3 linked regions of the Coturnix japonica genome follow. The main gene of each other region encodes a partner of the protein of the gene in region 3 in a complex. Links are inferred from orthologs where the notes say so. Each region holds a gene or a part of one and is shown on either strand. Other genes may lie near its edges.

What was found.
Region 1: CDC40 (region 3) and BCAS2 share a complex: the UniProt entries of both Homo sapiens proteins name them as parts of the postcatalytic spliceosome P complex. The link is inferred for Coturnix japonica from reciprocal best matches to the Homo sapiens genes CDC40 and BCAS2.
Region 2: CDC40 (region 3) and RBM22 share a complex: the UniProt entries of both Homo sapiens proteins name them as parts of the postcatalytic spliceosome P complex. The link is inferred for Coturnix japonica from reciprocal best matches to the Homo sapiens genes CDC40 and RBM22.

Annotation. Positions count from the first base shown.
Region 1 is NC_029541.1:3,876,222-3,881,744, reverse strand, and holds BCAS2 (pre-mRNA-splicing factor SPF27), read left to right. Parts: upstream 1-1,770; 5' UTR 1,771-1,814; coding exon 1,815-1,907; intron 1,908-1,982; coding exon 1,983-2,075; intron 2,076-2,280; coding exon 2,281-2,351; intron 2,352-2,412; coding exon 2,413-2,574; intron 2,575-2,854; coding exon 2,855-2,905; intron 2,906-3,072; coding exon 3,073-3,153; intron 3,154-3,468; coding exon 3,469-3,595; 3' UTR 3,596-3,683; downstream 3,684-5,523. Other genes in the region: DENND2C (DENN domain-containing protein 2C), read left to right, coding at 181-222, 469-574, 662-901, 1,138-1,224, 1,566-1,597; E3 ubiquitin-protein ligase TRIM33, read left to right, coding at 3,969-4,413. UniProt on the Homo sapiens protein: Required for pre-mRNA splicing as component of the activated spliceosome. Component of the PRP19-CDC5L complex that forms an integral part of the spliceosome and is required for activating pre-mRNA splicing.
Region 2 is NC_029528.1:4,990,592-4,996,557, reverse strand, and holds the start of RBM22 (pre-mRNA-splicing factor RBM22), read left to right. Parts: upstream 1-1,826; 5' UTR 1,827-1,897; coding exon 1,898-1,951; intron 1,952-2,502; coding exon 2,503-2,556; intron 2,557-3,512; coding exon 3,513-3,542; intron 3,543-4,506; coding exon 4,507-4,639; intron 4,640-4,896; coding exon 4,897-4,997; intron 4,998-5,182; coding exon 5,183-5,355; intron 5,356-5,937; coding exon 5,938-5,966. UniProt on the Homo sapiens protein: Required for pre-mRNA splicing as component of the activated spliceosome. Involved in the first step of pre-mRNA splicing.
Region 3 is NC_029518.1:60,609,453-60,614,853, reverse strand, and holds part of CDC40 (pre-mRNA-processing factor 17), read left to right. Parts: intron 1-1,766; coding exon 1,767-1,843; intron 1,844-3,873; coding exon 3,874-4,018; intron 4,019-4,917; coding exon 4,918-5,095; 3' UTR 5,096-5,401. UniProt on the Homo sapiens protein: Required for pre-mRNA splicing as component of the activated spliceosome. Plays an important role in embryonic brain development; this function does not require proline isomerization.

The sequences.
Region 1 (5,523 bases), on a different chromosome or scaffold from region 3:
CTTCAAAGATAAATAATATTGTCTGTTCTTATAGACAGGCTGAAGTTACACAAAACTTGTGATTTGTGTTGTGTGACATCCCCTACCCCTGGGGACAAACGAAATGTTATATATAAAGTTATAGTCCTTTTCCTTCTGCATGGCAACATAGAGCTAATATTTTTGTCTGTATTTCCCCAGGTTCTGATTGTTGATCTTTGTGCTGACAAGTTTTTGCAAGAGGTGAGTGAAAGAGTGAGATTACAGCATGAGTTACTCTTGGTGGTGTTATATGCCAAGAATAGGCATCTACCAACGTAGGCAAGAAATCAGTTAAACCTCGTTTATATCTGTAGGCTGAAGAAATATCTTGCATTCCTTTTTCATCACTAGATAAGGGAACAGATTAGTTGCAAGGCTGTGGTTTCTCATCAGTTTCTGTTGAATATGTTTGATGCAAAAAGCTTTCATGGTCACTTTTCTGTTCAGGTATCAGATGAAGAAGAAATTCTGCCTCATAAACTCCAGGCTGCACTTGTCCAAATTTTGGAGGAGAGAAATGAAATCTTGTCACATGAGCAGAGCTGCCTACAAGGTACACCTATGGAAAAGCATCTGGCGCTCTTCTTTTAGATGACCCTCTCAATGATGACTCATATTAGAGGGATGTTTCTCCTCACAGGTGATGTCCCTCTTAACTCCCTGGTCTCTGAAGCTTTCGTGCACTTCTTTGTGGAGATCGTGGGTCACTATTCCCTGCACATGAATGTCACAGAGAAAGGAGAGCGGGTGTTCCAGCGGGAGCCATTCCGTAAATCCCACACGTCGCGCAACGTGCGCCATTTCCTGCACTTCTTCATGGAGACGCAGATGTTTGCAGGGTTCATACAGGATCGAGAGCTACGTAAGAGTGCTGTCAAAGGTGAGGCTTTCTTGTTTTACAAAATTCCACATCTCTCATATCTTTAACTCTTACAAAGCCTTTTTGCCCCAGCAGTATTTCCTATTGGCGTATGTTAATAGCTCCATGCCCTTCTAATTATTCAGTAATCTTATTAAGCAGAAGATGCCTTTGTCTCCTGCCTGGCTTCGGTCCTGTGGCCTTACACACACAATGTTAACGCCTGAGGATCTCATCCATCTCTTCTATCTCTTTAGGCCTTTTTGAGGTCCGTGCCTTGGAGTATTTGGAGAGCATCCCCGAGTCTGAGCCCACAGGGATGAACAGAATCCTTCGCACTCTCGGTAAAGAGACACCTCATTTATTTAGCTTATTTCCCTGCAGTATTTCGCTTTGTGCACACATGCTGCTTTCCTTTGCCTCTCCAAGGAGGCTGTGGGAGCCCCATCCCTGCAGGCATTCAAGGCCAGGCTGGATGTGGCTCTGGGCAGCCTGGGCTGCTGGTAGGTGACCCTGCATATAGCAGGGAGTTAGAACTAGATGCATTGTGGCCCTTTTTAACCTTTTTAACCTTTTTAACCCAGGCTGTTCTGTGGTTTTATGTGTGAAACTGTCATTCAGCGTCCAAATGATGCGTCTCGAAGGCTTAACGTGCTTTTTTTCTTGTTGTTTTTCTTTTCTGTAGGAAGTAAGATGAGATTTCTCCAGAAGAAATGAACGTGGAGCCTCAATGAGGCGGTTGGACAACCAACCCCATCCCGGGGCCGGACTCATTGCTCCCTGTGCAGCTGAGGCGGCTCCGTGCCGCCATAACACGCCGCAGTGCCGCAACCAATCAGCGTGTCCTCTCCTCTGTGGGCGGGGCGGGATGAGGGCGGGGCCGCGCCGTGAGTCTAGGCCTGGGGTGTGCGCATGCGCGGTAGTGGTAACCATCATGGCGGGGCCCGGGCTGGTGGCGGGGGACGTGGTGGTGGATGCGCTGCCGTACTTCGATCAGGGATACGAGGCGCCGGGCGTGCGGGAGGCGGTGAGTGCGGGCCGGGTCGGGCCGAGCCGGGTTGGGCTGGGCTGAGCTGAGCTGAGGCGGTGCGATCCCGGCTAGGCTGCGGCTCTGGTGGAGGAGGAGACGCGGCGCTACCGGCCCACGAAGAACTACCTGAGCTACCTGCCGGCACACGACTGCAGCGCCTTCGAGGTGAGCCAACACGGCCAGCCGCCCCTCAGTGCCCCTCATTGCCCCTCATTGACCCTCATTGACCCTCAGTGCCCCTCAGTGCCCCTCAGTGCCCCTCATTGCCCCTCAGTGCCCCTCATTGCCCCTCAGTGCCCCTCACGGCCCCTCACGGCCCCTCACAACCCCTCATTGACACTCACGGCCCCTTATTGCCCTCTCCCTGCAGACCGAGATCATGCGGAACGAGTTTGAGCGCCTGGCGGCCCGGCAGCCCCTGGAGCTGCTCAGCATGAAGAGGTGAGTGAGGGGGGGCTCCTGGTCTGGCTCTGGGTGGGATCCGAACCGTGCTCCGTTCCAGGTATGAACTACCGGCTCCATCCTCCGGGCAGAAGAACGACATCACGGCGTGGCAGGAGTGTGTTAACAACTCCATGGCGCAGCTGGAGCACCAGGCAGTGCGCATTGAGAACCTGGAGCTGATGTCCCAGCACGGCTGCAACGCCTGGAAGGTGTACAATGAGTAAGGCTGGGGATGGAGAGACAGCATGGGAAATGGTGGTGTGGTGGCTGCAGATAATGCTGTCCTGATCCTCCTCACCTGAAGCCACTGTTGAAATGGCTAAGAAACACATGGAAGTGTGGCTTTGAGAAGCTCTGGGGCTGTTTCAGACAGCTGCTTGCCTTTAGTGGATGGCTGCATGCTGGGCTCTTCTAGGAGGGTTATATGTGAGGCTGGTTAAATTGATCTTATTTAGTAACTGTGTGTTTTTTCTCTTGCTTTGCTTCCATTCTGCTCTCAGACACCTGGTTCATATGATAGAACAAGCCCAGAAGGAGCTTCAGAGGTTGCGGTGAGTGGTTTTTCATAGCTCTATACAGAGGTTGGAAGGGATATAGAAACTCCTACTTTGGGGTAGGAGCTTCCAGGGCAGCCAATTTCAAACTGCATTCATGAGTAAATGAGATGAAGGAGGACAAGACCAACACAGGTCTCTTCATGTTGTTTTTTTCCCCTCAGGAAAAGCATTCAGGATCTGAACTGGCAACGAAAGAACATGCAGCTGACAGCAGGAGCGAAGCTACGAGAGATGGAATCCACGTGAGTAGCTGGGATTTATTCTAACACCCCCTTACGGGGAACAGTGCTGTCATAGCAAACCATCACACGGCTGCTATTGGTTTGCACAGGGTGCTTTAGAGGGTGCATGGTTCAGCTCCGTGTTGATGGTTTTTAGCCCTTTTTTCCTTACAACGTTTCATTTCCTGCATTATACATTGAGGTTTAATAGTTGGAAGCATCTTGTAACCTTGTTCAGGTTGCTCCTGCTGTCAGCTGAGCTGTGTTGGGGCTGATGTTGGTGTTGTGCTTTGTTATGGCAAACACCTTAATGCTCTATGAATCATTCCCTTGCAGCTGGGTGTCCCTTGTCAGTAAGAACTACGAGATTGAACGGACCATTGTACAGCTGGAGAACGAGATATCCCAGATCAAACAGCAGCACGGGGAGGCCAACAAGGAGAACATCCAGCAGGACTTCTGAACGCTGCTCCCTCCTGAACTCCGTGTTTGTACGTTTCCTACGGCGCTGTAATAAACTGCTTTGCCCAATAAAGGCTGCTTATCTCCCCTCCTGGCTGATAAGGGCTGTTCAGCGCCGGGCTTATCAGCAGCTTATCAGCAGCGCTGCGACTTGTGGCTGCGGCCTCCACCCGCGTGGGGGCGCTCGCGGCCGGTCGGTAATTGCGTTTGAGAGGTGTGGGCGGCGCTCTATCCGGCGGTGCGTCACGTGACGTCACGTCTCGTCTGTCCACGCCTGCGCGCGCCCCCGCCCCGCCCTCCCGCCGTGGAGCGCGCACGTCGCGTGGTGACGCAGTGCGTGAGCGGAGCGGGGAGTTGGGTTCAAAGGAGGAAACATGGCGGAAAACAAAGGAGGCGGCGGCGGCGGGGAGGGGGCGGCCGAGCCCGGGCCGGGCGGAGCCGGCTCCATTGAGCCCGCGGCCGCGTCCCCTTCGGCTGCGGCGCCGCCAGCGCCATCCGCGGCGCCTCCGGAGGAGCGGGAGAGCCCCGGAGCGGCACCGGCGGCGGAGCGTGGGCTCGGGGAGGCCGAGGCCGAGGCGGGGCCCGGGGTGGTTCCTGGGCCGGGCCCCAGCCCGGTTCCCCCGCTGACTCCGGCGGCTCCGGGGCCGTTCTCGCTGCTGGACACCTGCGCCGTGTGCGCGCAGAGCCTGCAGAGCCGGCGCGAGGCCGAGCCCAAACTGCTGCCGTGCCTGCACTCCTTCTGCCGCCGCTGTCTGCCCGAGCCCGAGCGGCAGCTCAGCGTGCCCGTACCCGGCGGAGCCAACGGCGACGTGCAGCAAGGTGAGCGGGGCGGCGGGCGCGATACCGGGCTGTGCCGTGTCTCCTGCCGGGGCTGTGTCCGTGACCGCCGGCATTGCGGTGCCGCCATCCCCCGGGCTCTGCTTCCCGGCTGTGGCAGCCGCTCTCTCGTGTCGCCGTTCCACGTGAAGCCGGAGCTCGCACGTCCATGTGCTCGCTGGGGATGGCGGTGTGGATGGCGTCGTGCTGCTTGTTTTGGCTTCCAGGGCTGCAGCGTTAGGGCCGTGGTGCTGCCGGGTGTTGAGCCGTCCGGGGGTGGGACACGCGGGTACATTCTGCGCTATGGAAGGAGGTTGGACTCAGCCCGTGGCCGGCAGGACTGTGCTCGGTGACACCTGTTTGGCTTTGGGAGGGCTCCTCTCTGTATCGTTTTGATGTGTCGTCACACGGCCCACAAGGAATTTCCCGGCCGTGCTGGTTCTGCCGGCCGTGCTGACTGCTGCAAACCGACCATGGGTCCGAGCATCGCTTCCTCAAGCACGAATCTCCCATGGTAGTTTCTAAACACACCAACTGAAGCACTCTGAGCTTGGGATCTTTCTTGTTACATCCAGACTTTGTGTTTTACATGGCGTGTACCGGGAGATGCTCATGAAGTTAGGCTAATTGTACCAGTAATCAGCAGCACTGTGTGACTATATCTGCTGGGGTGCGGGTCCAGCCAAACCACAGAGTTACTGCTAACCTGGAATCTCAATTCTTGTCACCCACATTGTCAGAGTGCTTGATGGTGTGCTGGGCTGAGATAAGGATTCATCTGTTGCTCAGGACCTTACAGATGTCACTAGTGAGGTGTGTGTGCAGGATCCCTGCTGCTGGAGCTGTGTGTGTTAGTGCAGCGGGTCACTAAAGAGCAATGACACACATCTGTAGTATCCTGAGCTGTGAGCAGATGCTTCATGAAGGAATTATTGGAGAATAATATGTGTGGCTATTCCTGTAGTGGGTTATGGGCAACCAAAGGCCATCTCTGTGCTGTGCTACTCTGCAAGCATCCACATTTTCCTGCTATTTTTCTGTGCCTACATAAGCAAATCACAATTGCAATGGAAAATTACTGATTCTTTTGATAGTTTCCTATCGAGTTGTTTT
Region 2 (5,966 bases), on a different chromosome or scaffold from region 3:
GATGGTTTGTTCTCTTTTCTTATCGTAGTGCCCACTGACTAAAGCTCTGCTTCCCCACACTGCCACAGGCTGGTTTAACTCTCAGCATGTGTTTCAGCACGCAGATAGAGATCTAGCTTTCTCCAGATTCACACCACTCCTGGCTGAATTTGGCTTTAGCAACAAAAAAGAAACCCTAATTGTTTTTCTTCTTCTTTCATGTCAGCCCACGAACCTAATGTTACACACACAAAAGTGAACTTATTCCCCACACGGAGCTATGCCCAAGCAACCATTTTAGGAGGTGGCAGTGCCTGCTGCATTACTGACAAGTCTGTTGCTGCAGCATGATGCTTTCTTTCCTTTGTCTTTTGCTTCCTGTTAGGATACCTCAAATAAATGTGGGGCACTCAGATGTACAACTCGTTATGTTCTTGTGGGGAGGGGGGAGGGTAAAAACACTCTGGCATATGTAGTTTCCTTAGCCAAAGTGATAAATCTTTTCACAAAGGAAATGATCACTTTGTCTTCAGTCTCAAAACGTGATATACTGCAGTGTTCACGGATCTGAGTGGCCGCCAACCGCACTGTAGGCTCGTTGTGTTGCAAGGTGGATGTGGTAGTGTGAATTGTTAGAAGCTGGGAAGTCCCATTGTGCTACGTTTCTTTACTGAGGTGAGAGTGGTCCTGAGAGGCTGCCTGTCAGTCTTTGTGTTAATAAATGTGTGTTAATAGGGATATAGCAATCAGTACTAAGCTCAGAGCATTGAGATTAGTTCTAGCATACTAAAAAACTACAGGGGCTGTCCAAGTTCATACTGTCTTTTCCAGCTGTGGGGTTGGGGGTATAAAGGAAGAAAGGCTGTTATACTGTAACTAGCATACACTGTACTGCTGTTTATATATATATATATATATATATGGGGTGTAATTCGGCCATAGTCCAAACTGCAACTTTAATTAAGAGTGTATGCAGGATACTGAATGCCAGTTCACTGCAAGTGGGTGAGACTGCTTGTCCTTGGGAGGCTTTAGTTTCATTCCCAGTTCAATGTTTACTTTCATTACCCGTTTCTGATGGGCTTTGATGTGCTGGCTTAGGGTGAAGTTAGTGAGTCAGCCAAGGCCGGCTTTGAGCTTCAAATCCTTATGTGGGATGGGAGGGATAAGGCCACATTGCAAACCGAGCAGCCTTAGTGCCCCTCAAAGGGAAGCACCCACCTCACAGCCCTGCTCCTGCAGCACCTCCCAGAGCAGCAAGTCAGCACGTTTACAACGCCTGGGTTGCACACAGGTGCACAGCATGAGCTGAAGAAGTGTACTTTGTATTTATTTATGTATAACGCTAGTGTCTGCTGCTGTTTTACCTTCCGGATAACAAAACACTTAAGCCTTGGCCATGAGTTCTCTCCTTAGCCAAACTAGTAACACTACTACCTATGGAAGCAGCTATTGGGACGCTGATGGAGCCCTGTGGCTGCAGCTCCCGGTTGGGCCGGGTTTGTCCCCTTTAGGTGCTTGTAGGCGATAGGAATTGCCGTCAGCTCTGTCTGTCCGTCTGTCCGTCCTTTCTCCCGGGGCTCAGGAGTTCTCGGTGTTAATGACAGGCGGCTGTTTGCCTTATTGCTTATAACTTCATGTAGTAACCTTCAATAAAGCGACCTTGGCTCTCAGGCTCTGCGCTGTTATTTACACCGCCGTTAGTGGGGAAATAGTGATAATTAGAACATAAAGAGCTGAGCACCCCCCAATGCTTTTGTCCCTATTGCCATTCATTCCGCCACTCCGGCTCAACTCTATGGTTAGCAGAGCCTAGAGCGCCCCCGCCGCTCTTCCTGCACGGAAGTGCCATCCCGCAGCGGAAGTGACATCACTTCCGGGTCCCGCCGCCTGCCGGGATCGAGGCGGAGGGGCCGCCATGTCGACATCGCTGGGCTCCAACACTTACAACAGGCAGAACTGGGAGGATGCGGTGAGTGGGACGGGATCCGGCCGGCAGTGCAGTGCCGTGATCTGTATGGGGGCTGTGCTCTGGATGGGGGCTGGGAGCTGCATGGGGGCTGGGCCGGCGCCATGGGGCACTCAGGGCTGGGGGTGGCCTGTGTGTGTGTGTGTGAGGTGTGTGAGGTGGGTGTTAGAACGGGCCTGGCTGCTGTGCTGCCATCATTATAATAAGGATAAGGGAACAAGGGAACAAGGACGTGGGCTGCAGCTGCTCACACGGCCTCTATGAGCAGATTCTGTTGGCTCCTTGCTCAGTCAGGCTGGGTTTGCTCGGCAGGGTGGATGCCCCGTCCTTGGAGGTGTTCAAGGCCAGATTGGACGGGGCCCTGGGCAACCTGATCTATAAAGGTGTATGTTTGTTGGCCCTGCCAGGCAGGGGGGTTGGAACTACATGATCCTTGAGGTCCCTTCCAACCCGGGTCATTCTGTGATTCAGGGTGAGCACTGAGGGCTGATTCCATTGTTATCGTGATGGTTTGGTCGCTCTGTGCACATTTTCCTTCTTTTTCCTCCTCTCAGGACTTCCCCATTCTGTGCCAGACGTGTCTCGGAGAAAACCCATACATTCGCATGGTATGTGCTATGTGCTGCTTGGACAGTGCGGCCCTGTACTCTGTGTTGGGTGCTGATTAACACTGAACTCTTTGCTTCTGAGTGCTCAAGCAAGGGGGGATGCTGAGGACATGTGCATTCCTGGCCATTTGGCCGTGCACTGCAGGGTTCACTTCATGCCTTTGTTAGTGCATCATGTCATGGTGGTCGGTGCAGGTTTATAACAATAACTCAGTCAAAAAGCTGAGCAGGATGTCACGCTGTAATGTCTGCAGTGCAGGAAATACCAGTAAAGCTTTGATACCAGTAAGTCGTGTGACGTGGGAAGCAACGAGCTGCTGGGATATTAAATAGATGAGCACCATTTCTAACGTGCATAACATGAAAATGAACCTGAACTGTCATACAAAGGCTGCTGGCAGCAATTTCAGTGCTGTTTTGTTGACTTTGGTTTCATCTGCCCCAGATGAGTCAGGCCATTCCATGTTCCTTTTCTCAGTGCTCAGCCCAATTATGCCATACCTGCAGATTATCTTTGCCTCACATTTCCTTTCCCCAAGTTTGCTGAGAGCTGTTATGTTTTTATGAAGCATGACACGATTGTCAGCATAGATATGTAAAAAATGGCTTGTTTTGGTGCATTTGTTTTATGCAGTTGCATCATCTTCGCTTAAAAATAGCTACTAATGACCTGTTTCATGATCATTTCTCTATGGTACGTGAAGTTGGGCTCATAATACTTTGTTTTAATGGGTGCTTCTAAAACAGAAAACAGGTTGAGAGTTTCTTAGATCTTTGTGGTCCTCTTTGCCAGGCAAGGGGAGATTCTGCTTAAGCACCAAAAGTAGAGGTGAGCCAGTCTACATGTACTATAATAAGAACAGGATCACTGTGCTGTAAGTTCAATGGTACGTTTCATCATTCACAATGTTTTAATATCTCATGTTTTCTCTCCCTTCTTATTTATTATATTTCAGACCAAAGAGAAATATGGAAAAGAATGCAAGGTACGTTGGTTGTCTTTTGAAGAACGAGCTTCTGTATTGGTGAACATCTGGCTGTAATGTGGGTTTTGGTTCTCAAAAGATCTGCTGGCGTCACGAAAGAGTTTATCTTGGCTGAGAGCTTAATGCACACATAACTGCATGGAATGTGAGGTGTATCATCTCCATGTTCATTGTTCTTGAGCTGTAAAAGGTTGTTCTAACGGAGTTAAGATTTGCTCACGTTTATGAGAATTATTAGGTTTTGCTCGAGTATCTTATATTTCCTGTTGCAAGTTTGTTTTTACTGCTATGTGATGTGTAAGTAACAACAGTTTTGGTTTTGCTCTGAATCTGCTGTTTTTTGCCAGCTATCAATTAGTGTTAGTTATTGTATGAAATAAGACAGGTTTGTAACTGAGAGAGCAGGAATTATTTAGCTTTTACTTGACTTGATTTGTCCCTCTGCCCCCTTTATCAGTTGTCACCTGAGGCACAGACAAGGTATGTGCTGAGATCTTGCTTCTGCTCCTCAAATGTGCAGCAGAAGCAGATGCATCTTTCCAACACATAACAAATGGGGCAGTACTTTTTTATCAATAAGCTCTCATTGGGCTTGCTGCTGTTTCAGTGACTGCTCAATTTACACGTAATTGGTAATTTGTCTCTAATAGCTCCACGCTGGAGCTATTATATTCCATCTGGAATAAAAAATGAATCCTTTGAGTAGATCTGCTTTCAGCATTCAGGTTACTTTAATAACTCCAGACCTTCCCAAAGCTTCCTCCTGTCACAGTATGGCAGCAAATAGCAATCAGTATTATCCGGAGCTCTTGAACTTTTTTGCCTAGAACTTTAAGATGATGCAGTTGGACTTAGATTTCAGGGAGGCTGGGCGTGTTTGAGTTGTACGCTTCTATGCAGGAACTCGAGCGGCATCTTGGCTGTGCTGTGATAGCAGTTCACTTGTCTACTTTGTGTCTTTCAGATTTGTGCCAGGCCTTTCACAGTGTTTCGCTGGTGTCCTGGTGTTCGTATGCGTTTCAAGAAAACAGAAGTGTGCCAAACCTGCAGCAAGTTGAAGAATGTCTGTCAAACCTGTCTGCTTGACCTGGAATATGGTGTGTACCAAAGAGGGGAAACTAAGAGAAGCAGCAGTTCTGCTTCTGAAGTGAAAGCTTCTTTAAATGTGTGTGTGAAACTGGCGTAGTTGTTTCCAGACAGACTCAGAACAAGTCTTTGTGATCAGATCTCTTCTGAGATTCAGGGGCAGCTTGTGCAGGAGACAAGTTATCTCTGCTTAATGTGAGTTCTAGCAACTGGTTTTTTGCTCTTTCAGCTTGTGCTTCATAGGGTTTTTTTGTTTGTTTAATTCTAGGTTTGCCTATTCAAGTCCGGGATGCAGGACTGTCCCTTAAGGATGAAATGCCTAAATCTGATGTCAATAAAGAGTATTACACCCAGAACATGGAACGAGAGGTAAGAAAGTGTCTTTATGATCTCTGTGTATGGATGTGTACGGGGGAGGGAGGGAGTCAAACACTTTCTTTGAAAAAGAATGACCCACATCATCTTAATATCTGTGTTTATTTTCATTCTGCATTACATGTCAGTATTGAGAGATATATTTATAATAACTTGCCTGCCTTTTAACTGCTGTATAGATAGCCAACTCTGATGGCACTAGACCAGTTGGTGCACTAGGAAAAGCAACTTCTACCAGTGACATGCTGCTGAAACTGGCTCGGACCACTCCTTACTATAAACGTAATCGTCCTCACATCTGTTCCTTCTGGGTAAAAGGGGAATGCAAGAGAGGAGAAGAATGTCCTTACAGGTACACACACATCTTAAATAGTTTCTTTTCACTGTGGTCAGATACGCTTCCCCTTAGGGACTGAAGAACAGTCCTGCAGTGGGCAGGGGCTGCAGCACTGGGATTGGAGTTGATGTGAGATCTGCAGTAAGGTGGTGTGCAGCATCCATGAATAAATCTTTGTTGTGACAGGCTCATTTGTGAGGAATTTGCTGCGTAGGTTCGTAGTGTTTTGCCAAAGCAGTGACTGCAGCTCTTCTCTTGCATAGTTCATTTCTTCCTAACGTGGCGTCAGTCCCCACAATCAGAGGTCTTTGTATTTGAACAAGAGGCCATTTGAAATCCAGCTCTTAGGTTTTGTAGTATTGAATGCTTGGCTGTCAGAAGTGCCATTCATTCCGAACTCCAGGCAGTTGTGCCAGTAGCATGTTGATAGCCCCAGCCTGACTTCTTCAGGCTTTTTGTTCCATTTTGACATCTTTCTGTGAGCAGGGTTAAGCATATAAGCAACCAGATGGTGTTTAGAGGGGAAAGTGGTGGATGAAGTCATGTAAGCTGCAGCTGTGGCTGGTATTAAGAAACTCTTTGTTTGCTGAACCTCAGGCATGAGAAACCTACAGATCCAGACGATC
Region 3 (5,401 bases):
CTCCGTGACTAATCAGTTTCTTCCCAGCTTTTTTTATTGGGTTTTTTTTTTTTCACTGTCTGTGCTATTTGAATGTCACCCAAAACCCACAGTGTGTCTGTGATCTGTTGCTGTCACTGTCAGTAGCAGCAGTGGTAATGACCAAAGCCTGGGAGCCCAGGTTTAGGCTTATAGGCATGGAACACTGTCTCCAGATGTGACTCCCAGAGAGCCTCTGTTCAGCTTTTTGTAATTAGACCCATGTATTTACCGAGCTCCTCAAAGTATTTACAGTATTGTGTCTGCTAAGGAACGTCTCCTCTCTGGTGAGTGGGAGGAGGATGTCACTTGCACAAATCTGTTATTTCCTTGAGATTGGATTGCCCTTCTTCTGTGAGCTCTGTGTTGATGGCTGAAATAAATAGCGGAGTGGGTGGATTTTAGTCACTCTGTGGGGAAAAGACGGAAAGGCAGAAAGGTTCTGCTATGGGAACATTGCAACCTGATTGTTACAGTACCACGTTTTCTTTCTTCTGAAGCAAAAATCTGCACTGAGCATCCTGTATGCTGAAGAAGGGTTCAGACAATAGGGGACCCAACCTGTAGTTGATCTATGGTAACCAGTCTGCATATGTACATGATTTCAATCTCCAGATTTCTGCAGTGCATTATAACTCCTAATATATTCAGCACATCAGCTTTCCATATCAAACTGTTACATACCATAACTCAAATCGATGTTCTTTTTCTAAAGTTCATAAGGACAATTGTTACTAAATCTAGGGTGATTTCAATGTATTTCTTCACGTTCTTCAGCACAGTATTTCTTCAGTACCCTTCAGAAACAAAGCTGCCTTCAAAGTAATTATGACCTGAATATGGCCTTAAAAGCCAGTAATTAAAGCTGGACTAATTGCTTGGTTTCAATTGTTCAGAGAAATTTTGGAGCGGGTTTTGTAAATACTTTGACTTGGCCAAAGCTGGTAATGGGACGTCATGTCAGACTGCATTACAGTGAGCAGCTTCACCTCGGAGAATGTAAATGTCCTTTCCCTGAGAGTTCAGAGCACGCTCATAGGTTTCACAAGGACAGACTTAAAGATCTGGTAGTTTGTTCAGGAGTCTTAACCGGGAGTGCTTTAAAATTTGCCTGCTTTGCTTTTGATGTGAGTGTATCTTTACAGCAGTGATGGTAAAGCTAACATGGGTGTTATATTCTGTGTTTTACTTTCAGCAGTGCAAAACGTTATTTTCTCTTGCATCTAATTCTAATTGGATAAACAAATGAAATGATTTGGGCAACTGATATGAAGCTGTTTGAGTACTCCTCTAATAAAATGAAATGGAATTGAGACCGGGGAGTTCACAGCTGAGTTCAGCTATGAACATTAAGAATTGGTTGGCATCCCATTTGGGGAGATCAGGAGGAAAATGGCATTGTCAGAGGGAGTAGAATAAAACTGCTTTCTTTACGGTTGGTGTTTTTTTTAAGGGACTGGAGGCAATAGAGTATCTTTGTGTTACAGTTTCCCAATTGGAGTCAGGATTCTGCTGTAGGCTGTGGGTCATTTGGTTTGGGGTAAATTCCGTGCTACCAGAGGTTATCCTATAAATGGTTGCACAGCTGGAGTTCTCTAGGTGAGCACCCGTAATTTTGAGCTTATCCACATTCTTCTTTAGACAGCACTGCTGTGTTCTCAGTAGCTTAGTAAATCAGCTGTCTCAAGGCAGCCCTTTGGAATAATGTCTGCATGCCTTCCTAAAACACATACTTCTTCCTTTTGCAGGGACATTCCTGTAGACTTCAAGTATATTGCTGAGCCAAGTATGCATTCGATGCCAGCCGTGACTTTGTCTCCAAATGGTGGGTTAACAACTTCACTGCCTTCTCAGGCCGAGCTGACATGAAATGTCTCACTGATGATAGCTCTGTAATATTACCATCTTGTACTTCCCTGCTGCCCCTACAACCCCACCTTCCCAAAGACGTGTGTGCCTTTATTCCAAGATCAGACCGAATCTGGATTTAATAGTTTTGAGAAGACCAAATACGTCAAAATGAAGGGTTGTTACAGCATAGCTGTATCAGTTTAAAACGAGTGCAGCACAAATAGCATTTGCTCAGGAGAAACTCTGAGTTACCTCAGTGTTACTGTATGTTAATGCTTCCTTGGTGTTTATGTTCTTTGGTAACAACCAGACTGCAGGAGGACACGGGCTAAACGCCTCCAGCAGTAAGTGAAAAATCCCTCTAATAGGACAAAATCTCTTTTATGTGTGTTGGCCAAAATTCAATAGCTTTATTGCCAACGTTATTGAAGTGTTATAGATTTGCAGTTAACAGTCTAATTCGCTGAGCTGTGGCTGATCAACTTGTGTAGCCAGCGCATTCAGCCAGCTATCAGCATCAAATTACAGTTCCTTTGCAGTGTAAATATTTCATCCTTAACAATCGAGGCAGAGCCTTAATATTAAAAGGAAGATTCTGGAGAAAGACAGTGAACGTGAAAATTTTATGGAAGGAAATTTTCAGTTTCCTTCTGAATGCAGATGATTGTAACGGACCTTATAAAAACTAGAAGAGAATAACATGACTGGGGCAAGCACACTATTTATTTCTCTGGGAGGCTGAACTAAACTGTCTAATTCCAAGCTAGAAGCTGGATCAGATTTAAGGACAATCCAGCCCATTTTCTGTCATTGTTCAAATAAGATATGGAAGACAATGATAATATGTAGAGTTCAGGGCAGAAGCCTGTTGTAAACTATTCTGTAATGCATTGCCTTCACTGGATTCTCAGTTAAGAATTAATGCGGTGCCAAGATACAGAGTGAAATTAAAAGTAGAAAAGCCTTTTTATCATATTCCATTATGACACAGACAATTAAATAAGTCTCAAAAATATAAGGATCCTGAAACTCCTTAGTCACAGAATCACACAGAATGATCTGGGTTGGAAGGGACCTCAAGGATCACATAGTTCCAACCCCCCTGCCTGGCAGGGCCACCAAACATACACATTTACTAGATCAGGTTGCCCAGGGCCCCGTCCAACCTGGTCTTGAACACCTCCAAGGACGGGGCATCCANCCCCGTCCAACCTGGTCTTGAACACCTCCAAGGACGGGGCATCCACAACCTCCCTGGGCAGCCTGTTCCAGGGCCTAACCACTCTCCTAGTAAAGAAGTCCAGGTGACCATCTTAGGGTACCCACAAAAAAGGTTATCAAATAGATTACCTGTTGTTGTTTGTTTTTCCCTTCATCTGAATTACGTGATTGAGAGTTTATAATATCTGCACCAGAAAAACTTACTCAGTAGCTTAAAAAGGGATCAATTCATTAGTGCGGTTAACATAACAGGCAGAGCTTTTTAGAGTTCTCAGTGCATTTTGTAGGAACAGGCATCCCAAATCTTGTCAAGTATAGTTTTCTGCCTTCTGACAGTTATAACAGGTGGAAGTTGGGTTGGCCATCTTCCAGACCTTGTGATTCTGTGAAGTAATATCAGCTTCTACCAAGAAACTTTATTACATGATAAGATAGATTAGATTTAGGTTGGATATAAGGAAAAAATTGTTACTGTGAGGATTGCAAGGCACTGGAACAGGTTGCCCAGAGATGTGGTTGATGCCCCATCCCCGGTGACTTTAAAGGCCAAAATGGATCAGGTCCTGGGGAACCTGATCTAGCTATGGATGTCCCTGTTCACTGCAGGGGAGTTGGACTGGATGTCATTTAAAGGCCCCTTCCAACTCTAAGGATTCTGTGATTCTGTATTGAAAATCTGAATTAACACAGTGCATAAAAATTTGTGTGTGTCCCAAGCTTTCCAGCCAAGACTCTTTCTTTGTATGTGGCACTCTGTCAACTCCTCTTTCATTGCACTTCTAGGGAAATGGTTGGCTTGCCAGTCAATGGACAACCAAATTCTGATATTTGGAGCTCAGAACAGATTCAGATTGAACAAAAAGAAGATCTTCAAAGGTCACATGGTAGCTGGCTATGCTTGTCAAGTGGATTTTTCACCTGATATGAGGTGAGTTTTGTGGGAAAGGGCTTCATCTTAAACTCACAAGCACAGACACCAGATTTCTTTTTCAATCCTCTGCAACATTCATTGATGCACAGCCATCCTACTAACTCAGTAATAGGACAGAGCTCTCTAAGATGAGCAGAAGAAATTAAAGTTTGCTCTTCTTGTTTGACTGGACTAAGTATATTCAACAATTGCTATAAGAAACAGGTAAAAAGCAGCCAGCGTAGTCCAGATTCCCCATTCTCTAAAGACTTACTTTGCTGTGTTTAAGTATCCTGAGATTGCCCTTATTTTGCCCAGCCCTGGTGCAGCACAGACCTGCATCTGACTGTTTGCATTCAGTCAGCAGCAGCCTCCCCAGAGCCCTTCAGGCTCTGTTCCCACCATATGAACCTGTCTGGAACACCTGGAATTCAGATCTGCCTGCTTTTTCTTATTCAGAGGTCTGGTGTGCTGTATCCTCATTTAGCTGTTCAGAGATCTATCTTTTTCATCCTGTTTCCTTGGTAACCTGCCCATATGTTTACCACTGTATGTACATAAGCTATGCATTGCTATAAAAAGTGGAGAATAACCTCAGCAAAACGGGAGGAAAAAAGCAGAGAGAATGTCTATAACTTGCAGATGAACTTCTGGCACTTTCATCTTTTCCCAACGTGTTCTCTTCAGTCCCGGTAACACTGTGTGGGTGTAATCACATTGGTTAGCACATTTACCTCACAGCTGATGCATCACCTTCTGCAGGACTAGGTGTGCCTCAGAGCACAGCATGAATGCCAGTTCTCTGGCAGAGAAGATTTCAGACTGTCAGGTTGGGGAGGCTCACTGGGTGAAGCTCTATTCCATTTTTCAATATAAAGTGTTAGAATGCAAGTTTTATTTTAATCCCTTTATTGCAGCTACGTGATATCTGGAGACGCAGATGGAAAGCTTAACATCTGGGACTGGAAGACCACAAAACTCTACAGCAGAATAAAAGCACACGATAAAGTCTGCATTGGCGCGGTCTGGCATCCGCATGAAACTTCCAAAGTCATCACGTGCGGCTGGGATGGTCTCATTAAACTGTGGGATTAAAGAAGCTGCTGCAAGGATCTGAAGTTGTAAGCCCTGAGATCTGAGGTTGCAGTGAATTCTGCTGTAAGGACAGGTAGACGTGTTGTCATACAGCTGTTCGCGGCTGGCTGTATATATGCTCTGAGAGTGGAAAACCTTCAGAATGCTTGACTCAAAGGATAGTGTTCTAAACGCACCATCTGGCTGTGAGGATCTGCAGCGTACAGCATCAAGTCTTGGTTTGTCCTGTCACCTTCTGCACAAAATACTCTTGTAAAATAAAACAGATTTAAGAAAAACTATTTTTGTGGCTCTGGCTGTCAGAGA